Medicago truncatula: one gene and its partners. The protein of the gene in region 1 binds, or shares a complex with, the protein of each later gene. Links are inferred from orthologs where the notes say so. Each region holds a gene or a part of one and is shown on either strand. Other genes may lie near its edges. The genes, in order: DNA-directed RNA polymerase II subunit RPB2, DNA-directed RNA polymerase II subunit 4 and DNA-directed RNA polymerase II subunit RPB7.

Region 1 (6,934 bases):
CAAGAAAAAAAAAATTTGAAGTGAAAATGAAAACAAGAAACGTGCAAGGTAAATGCGTCTTTACTTTTCAAATTTATTTACATTGTATGCACTTTACATTGCAGCAGTTTACTTGTTAAAGCATGTCTCCTGAGAAGTCACTTGACTGCGAGGTTTGCCCTACAACCTAAAGGTAATCGTTCGAGACCCGGCACCAAGAGTTTACTTGTTAAAATCATTTTACATTTCTTGCACATCAAATTTTTCTTTTTTTTTTAAATATGCTCTTCTATCCTTTTTTTTAATAATATTTTTTATGAGTCTAAAAGCGAAAACCAAACACACGAATGGTGTAGAAAAGGAGTAATGCGAGATTATTTTAATATAACCAAAATTTGAATGCAGAATTTTCTCTATTTTTATTCACAATGTTATTAACATATTGTTTTAAACCATATTATAAAATATAAAATAATACAAAGAAATTTTTTAATATTTTGATAAATTACGAAAGTTGACAAAATTTTGCTATTTAAAAACGAGTTTTTCTATCATGTGCAAAATTTTCACATGTTAAGAAGTTTAAAATAACAACTTTGCATTGAAATTTGTACATTTTGTATTTAATATATAACATTTTAATAAATAAGTATTATTTTTTAATAAAAATTTACTACTTTTAGTTGCTTTAACATGTGCAATATTGCACATTTTAGTCAAACTCTTTAAAAATATATCTTATATTCTAAATCCTTAAGTTTTTTTTTTTTATAAAAATATTTATTCACGTTAAAATGTAGTACATGTTTAATTCTTAAGGGAGATAATTGTGATCCAATCATCGCTTAGCACTCGCTCTCTCATACTCGAGCAAATATAGGGCCACGTGGTCACTCTTTTCTTGGTTACCGGTTGTTTTTCATTAAGACTTTTTACTTTTTTTTAATTACTTAGAGGATAAAGTATATCACATAAAGCAGATTACACACTGAACTGAAAAGGCTTCTACAACATTACCACCATTTTCACATCATCTTCACCCAAAAAATTTCTAATTGAAGATGCCATGTACATTCACAACGTATCTATGATTGTGCCCATATTTGAATTCACCATTAACACTTTCAATTAATGTGGCATTGAGGAAGGAAGAAATTGAAACAATTTTCATGAATCACATACTCATCTTTTTCCCTAATGCTCACTCCCACAGTTCTGAACAAAAACCCCATCGTACCTGCCGCCGAGAACAGTCACATCAACGAAAAGGGTGTTTATAAATGAAAAGAGGGAAACAACCAATCAAATAGTTACATGTGTTTCTAGATCTAGATCTTATTACTTTCTTACAATTAGAATTAGAGACACTTTGATATGTGCGATCTTGGATGGTGCTGCATAAGGATGGGAAATATGTGGAAAAAGTTGATGGAGGGATTGAAGTGGTGTTATTGTTGGATAAAGGTTTGAACTTTGGCTCTTGAGTTTCATGTTGATCGAGTGCTAGAGATTGAAGTTATGGTGGTTTTTTTAATGGATACTTTCAGGTGGACAACAAAAGAGAAAGAATTGGACAAGAAAGTGGTAGAAGTGGTTTGATGTTTTGTGGTAACGAGGAACTTTTTATCGATGCAAAAAAAAATAAAAAAATGTTAAAAAAAATACTTCAACCTAGGCAACCTGTAAATCGGTCATCACTTTTAAAATAATAGAAATAATGTCCAATCAGCGAGCGTGTGTTTATCCGCGGTTGTTAGAGCAACTGTGGGTAGCATTTCTCTTGACGTGTATTCAATGGAATGGAACACATTAATAACACAATTACAATTTTGTCCCTATTTTTTCTATTTTTTTTTTTAAATTCATACAGCTTCGTTATTTTTTTTCTATTATCTTTTTCTATTATGGAATGGTGGCAATAGTAATACAGCTATCGACAAAATTGTTGTTGGATACGTTGTTTATCCATACAATGGTAAAGTTTCAATTTTGATAAAACAATATAGGCTTGTTCCTTGTAAATCTTATGTTATTATATCCTGAAATGCACCTAGTAATATATACTTGTTTCAAATGCATATAGTATATCCCGAATGCATATATTTTATATCCTAAATGCATAAAGTGGTATCCATGTTTCATTTATGAGTTCATGCATTGATTTTATGCTTGGATCTGTATAAATTAGCCCACCTAAAGATTTTTTTTAATTGTTATTACTGTTTGTTCCACCTATTGATGTTTTTTTAAATAAAAGGGTAAAATTGAAATAAATAAGTTATAACTCATTCAATTCTCTCGACTTTTCAAACAATAGAATGGAAAATTAGCTCCATTCCATCATAAAATATTCAAACAATGGAATGGTATCATTGTTCCCTTCCATTCTGTTCCTTTCCATTCCATTCCATTACGTTCCATTCCGCTATGTTAGTTTTAGGGGAGGAGAGGATAAGTTTTTACTTTCTAAAAGAGGAGAATATATATATATTTTAACATAAGAGAGCATATTGTAATTTATTCTTTTATTATGTATTAACCCTTTGGTTTCCAAGAGAAAGAAGCTCTTAATACCGAGTTCGATCGCGATGTAAGTAATGTTTGTCCAAGAATTCTACCAAAAATCGAATTTAGGTTGGATTATCATGAACAATTTGTCATTTGGTTGAGCTCATCAACCACTAAAGTATAATTTACTTAGGAGATTCCAAACAAAAACCACTTAATAATTTTTTGCAGTTTCGTCATTGCTTCCCCCAACACTCAAACCACTAAATTTTATCCATTTTTTGTGTGTTAACCCTATGTTTTACACAGGAAATGGATCCTAATAATCAAGATCTCGATTGAAAGGTAAATAAAGTCTAACTATAATTATTCCATAAAAGAATTGAACACGGGTTTTCGTGAACAACTCGTTATCTGATGGAGCTTATTAACCACTTAAATTATTTACCACTTAAACTATTAACCACTTAACCCCATTTACTTGGTTATCCATTTGTTTTTATTAGCCCATACTAAAAAGTGTCATAAAAATATGAATAAACCACCAAATTAGTTTTTGATTTTATAAAACACTTTCAAATAGATCATTGACTTTATGAAAATTTAAAACAAGTTTAGGACTCCATTAAACTCTCAAATTGATGCTTATATTTAATAATTTACCATCGGTTCAATCGCCTTATTTTAACACCTTATTGTCAACTTGTTCCTAAATTTATCAACATCTACCAATTTAGTCCCTATCATATTCTTTGACGGATTAATATAACCCTATGTTTTACACAAGAAATGGATCCTAATAATCAAAAGCTCGACTGAAAAGTAAGTAAAGTCCAACTATAATTACTTCATCAAAGAATCAAACTTAGATTCCCGTGAACAATTCATTATTTAATGGAGCTTATTAGCCATTTAAGCTATTTACCACTTAAACTATTAACCACCACTTAAGCTCATGTCTATCCATTTGTTTTTGTTAACTCATACTAACAAGTGTCATAAAAATATGAATAAACCACCAAATTAATTTTTGATTTTATATAACACTTTCGAATAGATCATTGACTCTGTGAAAATGTAAAAAACTTTTAAGACTTTATTAAACTCTCAAATTGATGCTTACATTTAATAATTTACCATGAGTTCAATCACCTTATTTTAACAATTTATTGTCGATTTATTCCTAAATTTATCCACTTACTACCAATTTAGTCTCTATTATATTCTTTGATGGACTAATATAGCTTTTATTTTTTGAAAGAACGGACTAATATAGAAGAGTTAAAAACCTTTTTAAAATATTCATAAAAATCCGAGATTCATTTCGGTTCAACTTACAAAATCAGAGATTAATTTGATGGTTTATGGGTTGAGATGCATTACCCACGGACGTATAAAAAAACCGAGTGAGTGAGTCATAGCTATAAAAGAGCACCGCATTAAGCCACAAGTCATTATTCATTCATTCATACATCAAACCTCTTTCGAAAATCTCTTCACTTTTTTCTCTCTGCTAGGGTTTCATATCTTCGTCTTCTTTCTCTCACACTAAAAACACACTCAAAATTACACTAAAACACCGCATAATTTGAACTTCGAATTTGAACAAAATGATGATGGATTTGGAAGAAGAAAATGAATTCGATCAGCAAATGGAAGAAGAAGACGATGAAGAAGAGATTACCCAGGAAGATGCCTGGGCTGTGATTTCTGCTTATTTTGAAGAAAAAGGACTTGTACGTCAACAGCTTGATTCCTTTGATGAATTCATTCAGAACACGATGCAGGAGATAGTTGATGAATCCGCTGATATCGAAATTCGACCCGAATCTCAGCACAATCCTGGACATCAGTCTGATTTCGCTGAGGTAGTTTGATAAGCACTTACTTAGATAATCACTTTTTTCAATTAGATGATTAAATTTGGTTGTTGTTGCGGATTTTCAATTTTCAATATAACGTGGTTGTGAAAAAAGAAAGAAAAAAGCTGTTCACAATGAGAAGTGTTTGTAGGGTTTGTTTGTTAGAGATTGTAAAATAAGTGATTTGGATACTTCAAAACATATAGCGATTAATTTTTAAAGTAAGAAAAAAAGCAGAAGTTGTTAGTTGTTTTGTGTTTGTTTACCAGAGTGAAAATCACTTATAAAAAGTGATTTACTTGAAGTTAGGATTTGTAGCTTTTGATTATAGAATTGATTTTTACACACAAATTTATAGTTCAACTCACTTTTACATAAATGTGTCCAAACACAAATCACTTTACCTTGAGCTCACTTTTAGTTAGAATCAATTTTATAGAATCAGTTCACCCAAAATCAATTATTGTCACCACAGAACCAAACATACACTAAAAACTGCTTCAATGGAGAAGCTGTTGTTTTTTGTTTTTGTTGTTTTGAAAATCTGTAACTAATGGATGCAAATTTCTACAAGTGATTATTTCATTGAAGAAAAAAAAATCTAAAAATTGTTTAAAATGAGAAGCTCTTTTGTAGCCTCTTTAGAAAATCATTTTGTGGTTTTTTCTTTTTTAGAAAGTGTTTTTTTATGCATATGCTTTTTTATTTTTTAAAAATTAATATCTAAATTGTTGCGTATGTGAATCCCTTTTTTAATAATCTGTAACGAACGGGCTGACCTGAATCTGATGTTGATGTTAATATGATTTTGGTTTTGTTTGCAGACGATTTACAAAATAAGCTTTGGGCAGATTTATTTGAGTAAGCCGATGATGACGGAATCTGATGGAGAAACTGCTACATTGTTTCCTAAGGCCGCCAGGCTTAGGAATCTTACTTACTCAGCTCCTTTGTATGTTGATGTTTCTAAGAGGGTCATTAAGAAAGGGCATGATGGTGAAGAGGTCACTGAGACTCAAGATTTCACCAAAGTTTTCATTGGCAAGGTACCCTTCCTCTCAATTCTAGTATTCTACAGATTCTGATTTCATTGCGGTCCGCCCCTATCCGCCTAATTGTGGCATTTGGGCTGCCTTCATTGCAGCATCCAATACCTTAATTGGGTGGATTTAGTCTTACGTTGCTTAAAGAAATCGCCTGTGTAGTGTTTATGAAGTTTGGGCAGCCCTCACCTTACAAGCTGGTTTTGTAAGGTTGAGTTAGGCTCAATCCAAATTCTAAGATACATGCTTAAAAGGGTTTTAGGAAGAGTTTTTACAACCAATTGTTATAGTTGTAGTTTAGTATATTAGTATTTGGATATATTTATTAAAGTAAATGACATGTCCTATAAGAAGTCTTTTTCAGTTTATTAAATTCCAATGATAAGCTTAAGCTTCTATTTATGTCCTTTTGTCATTTTCAGTTTACTTCAGTGATAAGCTCACAGTAGGCCTTTTTTGTTGTTTGTGGTGTTTCTTCTTACTTACATAATCAAAATTGTTACTGAATAAATGTGTTAGGGCCTTCTTCAAGTCAGAATAACATTTAAATCAGCTTATTTTAATGATTATACTTTGATTATAGTCAATTATAACTATATTGTACTAATTTTGCCTTCTTGACAGAGTAAATGAGAATTTTAAGTTATTTTATGATGTGGTGGTGAAATATAATTGGATCGGACTTCTGAGGCCTGTGTAACCTAAGTAATGGTTTTGTTGTTATTAGGTTCCTATTATGCTTCGGTCTAGTTATTGCACACTATATCAGAATTCAGAGAAGGATTTGACTGAGCTTGGAGAGTGTCCGTATGATCAAGGAGGTTATTTCATTATTAATGGCAGTGAGAAGGTTCTTATTGCTCAGGAGAAGATGAGCACCAATCATGTCTACGTCTTCAAGAAGAGACAACCTAACAAGTATGCTTATGTGGGTGAAGTTCGCTCCATGGCAGAGTCACAAAACAGACCACCTAGCACTATGTTTGTGCGCATGCTCTCTCGGGCTAGTGCCAAAGGGGTAAATGAAAATCGCTGTATATTTGTTGTTTTTGTGTAGTTTTTGCTGTGTGGCGAGTCACATTTTGCAGATGTTTTGATGTCTTATACAATGTCTAAGTTTATGCATTTTTATTCCTACCAGGGTTCTTCAGGGCAATATATACGTGCTACTCTTCCTTACATTCGAACTGAAATTCCTATCATTATTGTGTTTCGGGCATTGGGGTTTGTCGCCGACAAGGATATCCTTGAACATATATGCTATGACTTTGCGGATACTCAAATGATGGAGTTGCTTCGTCCTTCCCTGGAAGAAGCATTTGTGATACAAAATCAACAGGTGGGTTTTGCTATTGTTATATATTTTTTGCTTACAGTCAAAATGGTGATTGTTTGTCTAGAGTAATTATATATTAGTTTCGAGTGAGATCGTCGTACAATCCAAATATATTTCAGACTGTTCCGAAGATGGAATAGTCTGTTTCTCTTGTACTGCATATTATTTATAATCGAATGAAGGCCCAGTTTGGATTAGTTTTTAGC
Region 2 (7,560 bases), on another chromosome or scaffold:
AGAAAAAACATTTTGAACCATGATGAATCTGGAATATATTATGGTGAGGGCAAATGGTAAAAGAACAATGTAACAGAAGGCTCGCGGGAAAAATAAATGAAACATATTAATAAAAACTGAGATGCCATTACGGAGATAAATAGTAACCCAATAAAATCCTCCAGCTTTTACTTATGAATTCTCCAATATTGGGAATTTTTGTAAATTTAATTGCCAAACTTGTAGATATTTCTGATTTTGCTCATTAACAAAACAGAATTTTACACCAAAAATAAGTTATTCCCTGCTAGATAGTATTGACCACATCAATCAAACAATACTACCGTCCTACCAACTCCTACCAACTCGATAAAATTTTAATAGAAATTTATTCAAAGAGATAAATTTATAGAACATCATATTTGATTCAATTCATGCCTTTATTTATCTCCCCTTCTTCATTTTAACAAGCATGAAAGGGAGAATTCAAATCATTTAAAATTGACCTAACATCACCACTCCTTCCCAAAAACAAACCCTTCTCATCCCCGCCCAACAGGAAAAGTTTACAGAAAGAAGGAGAGGCAAATTATTTCTACCTTGATAGATGGAACCATAGCAATAGCTTCCTCTACAGTTTCCGGGCAAAGATTGCCTAGGACACACAGCTGCAATAAATTCATTGAAACAGTTAATTGTATTGTGTGAAATTATAACTCTTTTTCTTTATCCTCATAATAAAATGTGAAAACTTGCTTCCTAAACCGAATTTGTGAAAGGAATAGTCATATTACCTCAAATTCAGCCAACTGATATCTCGCAAGAATTCTTAAGCCAGTTAAGATCACAATCTGATACAGGGCTTTGCAATTTCAAATTTCTTATTAAATGATAGAAAGAGATATTACGTAGGGGTCTATTTGGTTCAACAAAGGGGAGAGTTTTTAATTAAAAGCATGTTTGGTTTAAAATGAGGGGAGGAATTTTAAATGGTTTAGAAGTGTTTTTAGTCACCTCACTTCCAAATCCCCCCAATTTGAGGGGAAGCAAAAAGTGGTCTAGGAGGGGTTTTGATTCCCTCCCATCCCCCTCTCTTAAAAATTGAACCAAACATAAATGATTTAAAATATCCCCTCCCCTTCAACCACTCTCAACCAAATGGACCCTAAAAGGAAACACAGGATCCAGAAAGACAAGAGAAAAGTCAATCAAGAAATAAAAGAAAACGAGATTATTCATTATTATGAAAGAAATGAGATGGACACCGTCACAATTTTCATTTAAGTAAATATATGAATCATGAGAAAAAGAAAATGGGTTCATCAGCTCAGTTTTGGAGGATACTCTCGAACTTGTCTAACAGCATCAGGATTTTTGTAGCGGCTGAAACGCTTCACATACTGCAATGACTTTTCAAATACCCTGAAAAAAATAGAAGGAAAAACACATTACTCTAAGGTGCTAACTACAACATTACTCCGCTTCTATATCAACATCGTTGTCAAATTCATCATTGAAAATATGTAAATTGGGTTTGGCAAGTTCAAGGACATGTTATTTAATTTAGGTATTATTACAGCGGCAGACATCAAAGCATAACTCTCTTCTTCCAGCAATAGTATCAAAATAAAAGATCTTGGAGTCATTAAGCATAACAAATGCATGTCATATTCCCGGAATAAAAAGTAATTTAGCTAGGGGCGTAAAAATGGCATGCATGAACTTTACGTCTGAATAACACATGAACATTGATACAGGATTAGAACTCACTGAGAAACTTGATTCATGGCATCATCAGACGACTGCTGAAGCTGCTCATATTTGTGTTCCAGAATTAATGAAACCTCACAGTTCATCAAGCACTTTGCTTTCAAAAACTCTGGAAGAAAAAAAAAAAAACTACTTCTTTAGCGAAAAAACAAAAAGTCACAACAATTATACCAAACTTGAAACATGTTCAATCAATCCAACATGACAAAACATAAGATCGTTGTCTATCAATGAACCAATCAGATTTTGAATGGTGTAATAAAATAGCTATCTGAAAGGAGTATGGTGATACGCCGCAACTAATCAAAGCAACACCCATTACTTATTACCCTCATATACTAACTAATCACCTAAAAATATAGATAGTATTATAGTATATCACTTCAGAATATGAGTTTAGGTATTATTCAACGTAGCACATGCTAAAAGAATAAGGGAATTGGATTGGTTTACTTGAGCTTATCTACTGGCATAAGCACTTGTGAGAAGAACTTAAGAAAACAGCTTATGACATGTTCATAAGCTGTTTTCAGCTTATTTCTATACACTCTATAGGATAGCTTATAAAACAGCTTTCTGCTCAAGTGCTCGTACAAATTCATTCAACTAGATTATCCGCTGTGAGCTAGCTTATCGGTTATCCTCTATAAATAAGTTCATCCGTCATAAGCTAGCGTATCAACTATGGTAAAAAATAGCATTAGTTCATTAACTCAAATACGAATTTATATATAAAACACATAATTATAATTCATTAACTTGTTAAATGTTCAGATATATAAACATCATCCTTAAAAAAAAAAAAAAAAAAAAGATATATAAACATCATAGCTCAAACATCTTTGAAACCATACGAAGATGAAGTACTGATCTCAAAGAAACACTGAACGAAGAATTACTATGTACGAAGGTAAAATTTTCAAATTAGGGATTTAAAAAATTACTAATAATGAAACACTACGTAATTCAAGCAAAACAGAACGCAAGTAAAGAAGCAAATTAGTGGAGAAAACCGAGAATGAGTAATTACCGTCTCCGATTTTGAGTTCAGCGGCGTTTTCTTCCTCTTCACCAGACATGATTCACTCCTTCTTCTGCTGAATTCAATTAGGTCAGCACAGAATCAGTAATGAAATTAGTACAAATCAAATCAAAAAGATAATGATGTGATTGGGAAGAAGAAGTAGAAGAAGAAGAAACGGTGTAACGAACTAACCAGAATCAAAACGGTGAGAGAAGTTGAGGGCTTTGTGTCGTTCACCTGGGAAGAAAGTAACACTCGTTTTGGATTTTAGACAACGTTAAACGCAGCGTTTATAAAGCTACCACTTTCCCTTAAAAAAATAAAAAATAAAAGCTACCACTTTATTTCTCTCAAAAACTAAAATAAAATAAAATTGGATTAATAAGTCTTTATCCTCAATAATATATATATGGCATTTTTAGTTTTTCTTTGAAAAATAAAATTTAGATTCGTCCTCGTAAATTAAAGATTTTTTAGGTTTGCCACCCGAGCCCTTCGAGTCATCAAAATATCTTATTGACGTGGCAACTACGTGGCTTTTTCTTTTTTTATTTATTTTTTAAATGTCACGCGTAAAAAAAAAATTACACGTCATTAATAAATAAAAAATTTTAAAAATATCAAAATTAATTTTCAAAAATTATAAAATAAACAAATTAATTAGGAAAAAAATTATAAGAAAATCTAAAATTTAATATATTTCGAATTTTTCAAAAAATTATAAAATAATTACGAAAAAGATTCTAAAATATCCAAATATAAATTAAAAAAACTTCGAAAATTATAATATTATCTAAAAAAAATATTTTGAGAATTAAGTTTCAGATTTTTTTTTAAATATTTGTAATTTCGAAAAAAAATTGATTTTTTTTAATTTCGAAAAAGATTTCATAAAATTTCAGGAATAAAACTCTCGAAAAAATTTGAAATCTTTTCTAAATTTAATTTTTTTTGAAAAAACAACTGAAATTAAGATTTTGATTTCAATTAAAAAAAATTATATTCAAAATTTCATAAAATTTGAATTCTAGAACAATATTTCATGATTTTATAAAAAAATTCAAAAACAAATCTGAATTTTTCTAAATTTAAAATTTTCGAAAAAAATCTGAAGTTAAGATTTTAAAAATTTAAATAAAATCAAATTTTTTTCAAATTATATAATTGGAATTTAAAAATATTTATATCCAGATTTTTAAAAATTAAAATATTTTTCAGAATTTTCTTTTTTTGTAGAAAAAAATTTAAAAAACTTTTTTATTTCGAAAATAATCTGAATTTTTTTTAAATTTTGAAAAAGAGAAGAACATTTTCTATTTCGGAAAAAAAAAATCTAAATTTTTTTTAATTTTTGAAAAAAAAATAATTTTTTTTTCGATTTAAAAAAGGATTTTCGTTTTTTTAAATATAAATGACGTGTAAACAATTTTTTACGCGTGACAAGCACAAAAAAATGGAAAAGAAAAAGTGTCACATCAGAGATTCTACTGAGTCAATGGGCTTAGGGGGCAATCGTGAAGAATCTTTATTTTATAAGGACGGAATCTAAATAAAAAATTACAGGGGGCAAAACCGAAAGTACCCTATATTATAGAGGGGTAAAGGCCTATTAATCCAATAAAATTTTATTTATTGTAAATTCTTTCATGACCCTAAGTTTTGGTAATATCCTATCTTGACCTCAAAATTCATTCATAATTAAATACAAGATCTTTTGAGTATAAAAATTAACAACCAATTAAGAAAAATAGAAACAAATAAATTATTATCAAGATTATTTACAAAATTATATTAAACACAATGTTCGAATATGGGTCAGAATCTCCTTAAAAAAAAAACAGAGAAAAGTAAAGGATACATGTAAGAACCTCTCGCTATTTTTTCTTTATGGGTGTGTTTGGTTTGCAAAACAGTAAGTATCGGACAGAACAATATAAGATAGAACAGTACAACACAAGGCAGAACAGCATAGGACAAATTTTTTATGGCATTGAGTAATTTTTTGTTTTATACGATTTTTGAGGGACAAAATGTTATTTTGGTATTTTAGACAACTTGTACGTAGGATAAAAAGTTGTGATGTGGTTTGGTGAGGGACAAAAATATAAGTTTTTGTTCTGTCGCTTGCCTCCAGTTTGTCCTGTACCTGAAACAGTTTTATAAATCAAACACTGGACAACTAGAGTTGTTCTGTCTTATCCTTTATTTTTTAGCAAATCAAACGCACCCTATATTTTTTTTCTCTTTTCATAGTTATAGCTTTGAAGAGTTTTAAATGTATATTATTAAATAATTGGAGTTATCGAATATCATCATATTGTTGCAATTATATTTCAAAACCATTGATAATTGAAATAAAAAAAAGTTTAAATGTATTTTTTTTCCTCTTAATTTTTAAAAAGTTGTAATTTTGACCCTCCAACAAAAAAATTACAATTTTGATCCATTAACTTTATAAAACATTGCACAACGCAAACAAAAAAAAAATCAATTTTTGCCCTCTATCCTAAAAAATATGTACTTTTGACCTATTGTTTTTTAAAAATAGCAATTTTGGTCCCATATTTTGACATGTGACGTCTTCTCGATTGTCTTACAATTTTTTTGTAAAGTTAAGGTAAAAAATTGCTATTACTTTTTAGGGGTCAAAATTGCAATTTTTAAAAGTTAAAGACGCAAAAATGCATCTAAGCTTAGAAGAAAGAAGAAGAAAAAAGACTTGACTCATGATATGCATCCTATAACTAATAGTCTCGATCTCCTAAGAATGAAAAATATTAAGTGCATAATGCATTTTAACTTTGGTGAGCCTGCTCTTTTTTTTTCTTCTCTCCTTCACGATTGGTTTGATTCCTTCATATCTCGGCCTCTACATTTAATTGATAGGAACAATACGATGCAATATGTAGAGACTGATATTCGAATCATGAATTATTCACTTATTCACTTTATGGATGAAACTATAACCACTAAATTATTTAGTATAAATTTTTTGAAACCAAAATTTGTTATATTTTTTCAGCATCTAGAAGAAGGAAGTGAAAAACACTATTTAAACTTACACACCAAATTTCAAGTTCGAATTTAAATTAAAATGGCCGGATTAATGCGATAATATTAATTGAGATAGATCTTATAAAAACGAATTGTGTTATTCTTTAAAAAAAAAATGAATTGTGTTAAATTTACGTATATGGAATTGTCTAATATAAACTTTTTTTTTTTTTTTTGTGGTGGCTGGGGTTCGAACCAACTGAATTATGCTCACGAGGACAATATAAACTCGATCTAATATAAAAGAAGACTCTACTATTTATATTATATTTTTGTTCTCCCTTTTCATGATTATAAAACTTACTTTTTACTAAAAATTAAGTTTCTTAAAAAAAATAATAGTAATAAGAAGAAACATAAAATTGTTTTTGAATGACGGATATTAAAATAGGATGGACAACATGAGAAGATCCAAATTATTTTTTATTTTTAAACGTAATTGATATTAGACCAAAAAAAAAAAAGAGAAAAAAAATAGACACAACCTTCAACATATGTAAAAAAAATTATTACATACAAAAAAACAGATATATTTTTTTTTGAAAGATATATAAAAACAATATATTCCACAGTTTGTTTATTTAGTTGATAGAAATTTTTTAGATTTTATGACAATTTATTTTGACTGGATATTGACAAATTTAATTTAATTTAATACATAGCGTGATTTATGACAGAAACTGCGAGGCGTACAACTCAATACTCACATCATATTTCCAAAAACTCGTTGTTACCTTTCTTCATCGGTACTCTCCGTTTCTTCTTCTCCAAATTTCTACAATTCACATTCAATTCATTCACATTATAAACATCAATTCATTCATTCACATAATAATCTACACCTATAGATATAAACATTAGATATAGTGAAATGAGGCCAAACGCTTCGGCGATGAGACAAGCCGAACTTTTGCGAAACGACGGTAACAATTACTTCAAGAAAAACCGTTTTAATGCCGCCATCGATGCTTACACTGAGGTTTCATCCAAATTTTCAGTTTTTACTAACCCTTTTCTTTTCAATTGCAAAAATTAAAACTTTGTTTCGTTTCTGACATGGGTTTTTTGTTTTGTAGGCAATTACGCTTTGCCCTAATGTTCCCGTTTATTTCACCAATCGTGCTTTGTGTCATCTCAAACGAAAGTATGTATTTTTATCAATTTTATGATTATGATTTTTTGGGTGTTTTTGATTGTTTAGGGTTTTTAATTTTGATTTGAAATTTGGGTTGTGGGATTTTTAGGGTTTTGATTTCTGTATGCAATTGAAATTGTGGTTGGAATATTGATATTTTGGAGGTTTTATTGATTACAATTGTGTCCACAATGTGTTTGGTTTATTTGTAGTGAATGGGAGAGGGTTGAGGAAGATTCTAGAAGAGCAATTCAGCTGGACAGTCATTCTGTTAAGGTTATAATGATTGATCTGTTTGTTATTTTGTAATTACTCCTTTTGTCTCGCTCGTGGTTGATTTAATGGCTTCATTCATCTGTTACGAATATTGCTTTTGCTTTTGAATGAATTTGTTTGCACATTTAGTTGTATGAGCAATGCTATATATCACGGACCCTTTATTCGTGAAAATGCACGCGCGATGCACATTTTGGGTTTAAAACAATCCACGTGACTTTACATTCTGATTAGGCGTAAAACAGATTGGGTATTGATGCTAAATAGCCTATCATAACTTTTCGTGATGTTCTGCATTTTCTTAAATTTATTTATGCGTGGG
Region 3 (7,442 bases), on another chromosome or scaffold:
CTGTTGACATGGTTGTTGGAATGGTGGTGATAAAAGATTAACCAAGTGGTAAAACACTAGCATAAATTTATCGCCACTTTTATGGTATGTACAGATCACTACTGCTAAGCCTGTGAATCATATAAACTGATAGAAACCGACAGTTATGAGCAATGCGACAGTGCATTATTTCATAAAAGGAAATGAGATCTAGCTCTACAATGAAAATAAAAGTACATCCAGAGTCAGTGACTCCTAACCAGAGAGATATTATCTCCTACCCAGCTCAATAGCATAATCCGGAATACCCTCACACCTAGACTCTCCCTCCTTCAAATAAAATCTAGGGACCCCTCATAACTAACTTCCACTATTCCCCACTGACCCCAGTCTTCCCCTGCTCGTGTATACCTACCATGTAGTGGGTCTATTCATATTTGCTTTTATAATTGGATCACCTGTGTCATAAGGCCCAAGGGTCCTACCATGAACTTAAAAATCAAACTATCATAAACTAAGGCCGTTCTCTAGCAATTTGTACTAGTAAGCAGACCTGCAAGAAATGAAAGCTATATCTGGCACAGACCACAGTGCTTTCATATCCTATTAATTTGAATTTCTTAAAAGTATAATTTCACATAAAACTGATGGAGCTTAACAACATAAATAAAAGCAAACTAAAAGCTGCAATATATACAGGCTTACAATTTCAGTAGCATCCACTCGAGTCCCAATTATCTTTAGCCTCACTTCACTGTCTTTCTGAATCTTAACCTGCAAAAAAACAAACGATCAAAGCCAAAAACAGAAGAAAACACATTAAATTGAACACCTAAAAAAAAAAATTGCTCTCTTCCTCTTCAATGAGAAATTATTATAAATGATATGTACCGATCCATCTGAAGTAGTGTAGTTTGGCATGTCTCCAGTCTGGAATTCCATATCATCTGGAATCAACTGAAAGGAGAAAAAAGGGTCTGATCAAGACAAAAATACATGAGGAAATAGTAGCAAAGGCAAAACAGAATAGCTACGGGGGAGACTAAACTCGGGTCACAGTTCAAAGCTTGCAAATTATCCTTTTTTCAAACCTAGCAAGAAATCAATGAAAACCATTTTCATACAGACATCTAAAAGAGGAATTGCATTGGAGATAATGATCTCTAGTGTAAATACTATATAGTCAATATGACAAATGACAAAACAAGAAGTCGATTTCTTTTCCATTATTCAGAAATCAGAAGAACATAAGTGCTTATGCAACTTGAGTTCAACAAGTTTGGACAGCATTCCGTAATTCTTTTTTTTGGAATGTGCATTTAATTTTTCAATATGAAAGAATAACTTAAGACAGGTTATGTCTTTTACTACTCTAATCTCAAGTTCAATAAATGAGAATCATGATTTTAGGGCTTAAAATGAAGAACAATAATAACAGTATCTTAGGTACAAGTGTGTAAGGTGAAGATGATGATAGAGGCCTTTTGTCAAAGGTTATAAAAGAACTTACATGGTTGGAAACGAAGATTTGAACTGGTCCAGCTTCAGCAAAAAAACCCATCTGTACAAACAGAACTCAATAATATAAACCACTTTATCAACACAGCAGAGTCAGACACCTAGATAAAGCTAATGAGTAAAATGTAGAGACAGGGGAAAGGAATTGCATAAACCTTGTTCACCATGGTAACAACAGCTTCTAAGATCTCTCCCTTAAATGGTCTAAAGACAACACATTGGTACTTAACCGGAAATGTCACAAATCCGGTCCCATCCCGAATTATTCCTTTGCCAATGTTCTCAATTCCCGTCACCGCCACCACAAATCCATGTCGTCCACTGCGTAATAGTTGAAAGCCCAAAAATTGCATCACCACAAAGTCCAAAACAGAAACAGTTTGATCCAAATTATTACAGGTTTATTTCCAAACAAAATTAGTCCAAGACACAAAAAGGCTTATCACAGATATTGTTAGTTTGGGGTTAAAGAGGTCTGTTACTGTTCTACTGGCCCTTTATTTCAATTGAAATTGTTTCCATCATCAAGTAATGCTCAAAGTGCAGTTCTATTTAATTTGTCTTCTTCAAATGATAAACAAAAACAAAATTGAAAAGAAATCAAAGACAACATAGTACATATTCTTCAAGTAGTAGTCTGTTAGTGAAAAAATCTCAAGTGATGGCATCTTTTGTCCTAAGTTTAATTACTAGAACTATGGTTTTGTAAAAAAGAGTGAAATGATCTTAAGGTGAATCACCTGCAAGTGCCTTCGACATCTTTCATTAGCTTGGAAACAAGATTATCACGAAGGTTACGCCCAAAGTAGCGTGGATGCAGTTGCATGTTTCGCTCCAGCACTATGTGGAAAAACATTTTCTTTTCTCTCCCTTCTCACCGAACCTGAACAGTTACTTGTGGCCACAAAACAAATAATAAGAGTAGATTCAAAGAATACCATAAAAAAAAAAAAAAAAAACAGTCAAAACCATATAAACCCTAAATCGAATAAAAATCCAACTAACTTCATTTCAAACAATGAAAGAAAGATGAAAAGATATATATGAATGTACCCAAATTCCCAACGCTAATGAAAATAACATAGTAAGTTAAACGAATAAAAAAAAATCACAAGTTGTCGATGAAATTCAATGGATATGAAATTAGAGAGAAAGTGTGCCCTAGTAACAGTTCATTGTTCGGGTAATTTTGTGAAGTAATAAACAGAGTTTAGCCTAATTTGCTCTTCGATTGTAATATTTGCTTATGCAATAACTAATATTAACTGAATATGTGGTTAATTAGAGTGTTAACCCTCGTTACTCTCTTGAAGTGATGGAGAAAAGGCTAGTCGCTGTTTTCGCACTTCAATTCGAAAAGATAGGGGAGAGGAAAATAGGGAAACTAGAGAGTAGACACGAACCTTGTTCGTTGATGAAGCTAAGAACTGCGGGGGAAGAAGTGAGAGAGGAATCACGGTTTTTATTTTAGACTTGTTTGGGGATTTTTTTTGTTTTTCATATATCTATAGAATCGATTTTTTATTTACAGAATAATTGATATATTTAGACTATATTTGCTATAAGACTCTATTATAGATAAATTAAATGGGTGCGTTTGATTTGCTAAAAGAATGAAGGACATGACAGAACAGAACAACTCATATTTGTCCCTCACCAAACCACAGCATAATTTTTTGTCCCACGCACAAGTTGTATAAAATACCAAAATATGTTTTGTGTTGTGTTGTAGTACTGTTCTATCTTATACTGTTCTGTCCAATACTAGTTGTTTTGCAAACCAAACACACCCAATAAGTTATTCGATTTCAAAAAATATTATTTGTTTGTATATAAAATCGGATAGATATGTTAACATCATTGTTTTAAAACCCAGCACCGGCCAGTCGAACCGTGAACCGGTGGTAGAACCGATTCAAGTAAGTAGTTAGATCAGTCATGCATTTGACCCAGTGTGAATCGGACGACTCGTCCGGTTTTTTCAATAAACCGATGAACCGACGGTTTCTACAACTCGGACCGGGTCAAACACCATCGCAGATCGCACAACAAAAAATTGATGTCGCTCAAATTAATTTCTGAAAAGGAAGGGAGAAAGAGGTATAGAGAAGAAATACATGAAATAGAAAACAAAACAATTGAAGAAGAAGCATCAAGAAAGAAGCTGCGCTGTGTTTGAATCGCACAAGGGGAAAATCAAAATGTAACGGCGGCTGCAAATAACTAAGAGACGTGTTGTTTGTAAAAAAAAAGAGCAATGTTATTTGTATAACCATTTATTGTGACAACTTGTTGGACAACCAAATTTTACAAAGAAATTTAAATAGTGGCACAAAAATCAAAGCAATAGAGAGAGAAAGTAGAATAATCATGTGAGTATGAGAGAGAAAGTTGTCACAAAAATTGTCAAAAAATGGTTGTTCAAATATCATTTTTCAAAAAAAAAAATGTTGGTTTTATAATTAGGGTTATGCCTTGAGAGAGATCAATGGGCTTGGGCCTTTTTTCTCTTAGACTCGGGTCAACTTTTATATTCTTTTTTTTATTTTAGCTTTTTGTTTGTCTTTTTTTGTTTTTTGAATGCATATTTTTTTGGTTGCAAGTATTTATATTTTTAAACGTGTGACATCATTCCTTCCGATTAACATTTATATACAGCCTAATTTTGAAAATTTTAAAAGGAGAAAGAAAATAAGAATATAGAAAATTAGGAGTTTTTAACTAATTTAAAAAATTGAAATTTTTAGAGATTGATTCATCTTGTTCAACCTAATTTAATATTACATAAACAAGTTTAATATAGAGACCAAGTTATTCGATCGAGTCATCCGATTTAATCTGGTTAAGTCATGCGGTTCAACCAGTGACTCAATGGTTCGACCATTAACCCAGTGACCCAATACCTTTGTCAAGTCGATGGTTGAGCCGAGTTTTAAAACTATGGTTAACATATGCTTATTCCGTTATTATTTGTTGCTTTCACATATATATTGAGATGGATTCTAGGGTGAAGGAGCAATTAAGTCCCTCACCGGTGTACCACTTATATTTTACCATTAGAATTTTAAAAAAATTCAATGGTTTAGATTTATTGGAAATAAAAAAATAACACTTATGTCTTCCTAAATAACACTTATGTCTTCCTACATAACACTTATTTGTAAATCCACAATAGTAGGAGAGATAAATTGTTGAATGATAATTTATTTGCATACATAAAAAAAACATTGTATTTTTTCTAGTGTTTAAAAGGTACCTTATACAATTTTGTCTGTTCAATTGCAAGTTTGGTTCAGTATTTTCACCATTTCACATACCCTCTATTTTAAAAATTGGTCCCTTTGTCATTGTCATTTTTATTAAATCTGTAATGTTTTAAATAATGTAGAATGTGATTTCATGACAAAAAAACTCAACCTCGATATTCCCTTCAAAACTTCAAATATCATATGGCCATATTTTAGACCAAATATGTCAAATTTTAAAATAGGTCAACTAACATCGCATAACTAAACTAAGGTAAATTGATTTTATTAGCGCAACTACAAAAAACCATTGAAAACATCCATAACAAAGTTTACAAATTACAATCAACATAAGTAGGAATGAGGCCGGATACTCGCACCAACGCTTGGTGGAATGACAGATATTGACTGTAGTTTTAGGTGGTGATTTTAGGCAGATATTAACTGTTGTCTGAGGAGGAACGAGACCGGATATTGTTAATGCCTCGGTCAATTCGTCAAAGATATGGGCTTATTGTAATGTGTTGAGGCTTACTGTTAATATGAGATTGGGTGCATCTTCGGTACCTGCAGAGCAGGAAGAAATTGCTAATTTTTGCAAGTGGATACTCTCAATTGGAGACGGCAACGATGCTTTGGGTGACAATGGTGAAATGAAGGTAGAAATTCCTGAAGATTTGCTGATATCAGACACAACAAATCCGTTGATGTCACTTATAGACTTTGTGTATCCCGATCTAAATGATAACCTTGGTGACCAACTATTTTTCCAAGAAAGGGGAATACTCGCACCAACGCTTGATTCAATTGAGCATGTTAACGAATTTATGATGTCGCTGATTCCAGGTGAAGAGAAAGAGTATTTAAGCTCTGATTCTATTTTTAGATCGGGTGAAAATTCTGATGTCCAAAGCGAGTGGTTCACACCAAAATTTCTTAATGGTATTAAGAGCTCTGGAATTCCAAATCACAGGTTGAAACTAAAGGTGGGATGTCCAGTTATGCTGATGAGAAACATCGATCAGGTCAATGGACTGTGTAATGGTACTAGGCTGAAAGTTACACATCTAGGGAAGAGCACGATAGTTGCTACCGTAATTACAGGAAAAAGGGCAGGTACTAGGGTATTCATTCCCAGGATGAATTTTATTCTGAATGATCCAGGACTACCCTTCAAATTCAGGCGCAGGCAATTTCCTTTGACGCTTTGTTTTGCAATGACAATAAATAAAAGCCAAGGTCAATCTTTATCTTGAATGGAGTTTTAGCTTCATAAGCCTGTGTTCACGCATGGACAACTTTATGTCGCTGTCTCTCGGGTAACTTCAAGAAAAGGTCTAAAGCTGCTCATCCTGGATGACGATAATAATGTTTGTAAGGAGACCACAGATGTTGTGTATCGTGAAACCTTTGTAAAAAAATTAAACGTTTGCATTTACCGACTACATATGCTAAGTTTAACAATGAGTGAATCTTATACTACAAATAATTAGTACAAGTATAATAATCCAGATATTTTTATCGTTATATGCAATGTTTAGATATTTCATATCGAATTTAAAATCTATACATTTGATCAAAAAAGATTTTTATTTCCCCGTGCTGACACGGGTCACTATACTAGTAACTAGGAATTTCACAGCCATTGATATTTCAATGGTAATTATACCAATGCCATTAAGTACTAATTCTCATACGGTATAAAGTAAACATGAGAGAACAAAACAAAAATTAGATGAAGCAATTTATCAAATCCGCAAAAGTGTAAATCATAGAAGAAACATGAAAAACTTTCATTTGACTCTTAACTTGTATCTAAATAAACTCATGTAGAACTTTTGAATATGCCACAATACAGTCTGGAAAGAAACAAAAACACGGTGACCAAAATAAAAACATAAGCAGCTCCTTCCATAATACCATAGCAAACTCAGAGCCTTCTACCCCTTCTACCACTCTTTCGGCGGGTGCTGTCAGAAGGAATTGGGGTCACATCCTCTGCAAATTTAAAAACAAAAGGCAAGCTAATTAGATATTAAGCTGGATATCAAAACTTAGAAACTCATCGTCAAATGCTGAGAATACAAAATAAGAGTAACTAGGAGGGAGAACTATTACTTCATAAACAAGATTCACAAACACAACGCATAAAACAAAAGCACATAAAAAACTATAGACCACATCACCAGCTTAGAGCAGCAGGGAACAAATTTACCAAGACATGCATCCTAAAAATGGACTAAAGGAATACCTATGCGACCGATTTTCATTCCTGACCGAGCCAAGGCACGGAGAGCAGCCTGAGCACCAGGGCCTGGTGTTTTGGTCTTGTTTCCTCCAGTAGCACGTAGTTTGATGTGAAGAGCAGTTATGCCTAACTCCTGTTCAAGAACACAGAATCAGCAAATTATGACAGCTAATGGAAAATGCCAATGAAATAACAATTAATATTTGATACGACAGGCGGAGCAATCAGATTACAAGAATTCAATCAAATTAAAAAGAGCAACGCAATCGCTTGTCAAGAAAAAACACAAGTGAATAAAAAGATACAAATATATGCAATTACCTTGCATCTGGTGGCAACATCTTGTGCAGCAAGCATGGCAGCATATGGAGATGACTCATCTCGGTCAGCTTTGACCTTCATTCCACCTGAAACATAACAAATTAGATAAGACAAACAGACTTAGACATGCA

What was found.
Region 2: DNA-directed RNA polymerase II subunit RPB2 (region 1) and DNA-directed RNA polymerase II subunit 4 share a complex: the UniProt entries of both Arabidopsis thaliana proteins name them as parts of the RNA polymerase II complex. The link is inferred for Medicago truncatula from reciprocal best matches to the Arabidopsis thaliana genes NRPB2 and NRPB4.
Region 3: DNA-directed RNA polymerase II subunit RPB2 (region 1) and DNA-directed RNA polymerase II subunit RPB7 share a complex: the UniProt entries of both Arabidopsis thaliana proteins name them as parts of the RNA polymerase II complex. The link is inferred for Medicago truncatula from reciprocal best matches to the Arabidopsis thaliana genes NRPB2 and NRPB7.

Annotation. Positions count from the first base shown.
Region 1 is NC_053042.1:7,590,391-7,597,324, forward strand, and holds the start of DNA-directed RNA polymerase II subunit RPB2, read left to right. Parts: upstream 1-3,928; 5' UTR 3,929-4,097; coding exon 4,098-4,355; intron 4,356-5,173; coding exon 5,174-5,395; intron 5,396-6,119; coding exon 6,120-6,410; intron 6,411-6,533; coding exon 6,534-6,731; intron 6,732-6,934. UniProt on the Arabidopsis thaliana protein: DNA-dependent RNA polymerase catalyzes the transcription of DNA into RNA using the four ribonucleoside triphosphates as substrates. Second largest component of RNA polymerase II which synthesizes mRNA precursors and many functional non-coding RNAs.
Region 2 is NC_053049.1:3,123,793-3,131,352, reverse strand, and holds the start of DNA-directed RNA polymerase II subunit 4, read right to left. Parts: upstream 3,078-7,560; 5' UTR 2,966-3,077; intron 2,847-2,965; exon of another isoform or gene 2,844-2,846; 5' UTR 2,829-2,843; coding exon 2,780-2,828; intron 1,859-2,779; coding exon 1,750-1,858; intron 1,402-1,749; coding exon 1,324-1,401; intron 808-1,323; coding exon 774-807; intron 648-773; coding exon 579-647; intron 1-578. Other genes in the region: E3 ubiquitin-protein ligase CHIP, read left to right, coding at 6,699-6,806, 6,904-6,971, 7,175-7,238. UniProt on the Arabidopsis thaliana protein: DNA-dependent RNA polymerase catalyzes the transcription of DNA into RNA using the four ribonucleoside triphosphates as substrates. Second largest component of RNA polymerase II which synthesizes mRNA precursors and many functional non-coding RNAs.
Region 3 is NC_053045.1:46,418,956-46,426,397, reverse strand, and holds the start of DNA-directed RNA polymerase II subunit RPB7, read right to left. Parts: upstream 3,027-7,442; 5' UTR 2,901-3,026; intron 2,392-2,900; 5' UTR 2,354-2,391; coding exon 2,238-2,353; intron 1,819-2,237; coding exon 1,653-1,818; intron 1,541-1,652; coding exon 1,490-1,540; intron 937-1,489; coding exon 871-936; intron 754-870; coding exon 685-753; intron 1-684. Other genes in the region: 40S ribosomal protein S14, read right to left, coding at 6,673-6,740, 6,994-7,123, 7,312-7,397. UniProt on the Arabidopsis thaliana protein: DNA-dependent RNA polymerase catalyzes the transcription of DNA into RNA using the four ribonucleoside triphosphates as substrates. Component of RNA polymerase II which synthesizes mRNA precursors and many functional non-coding RNAs.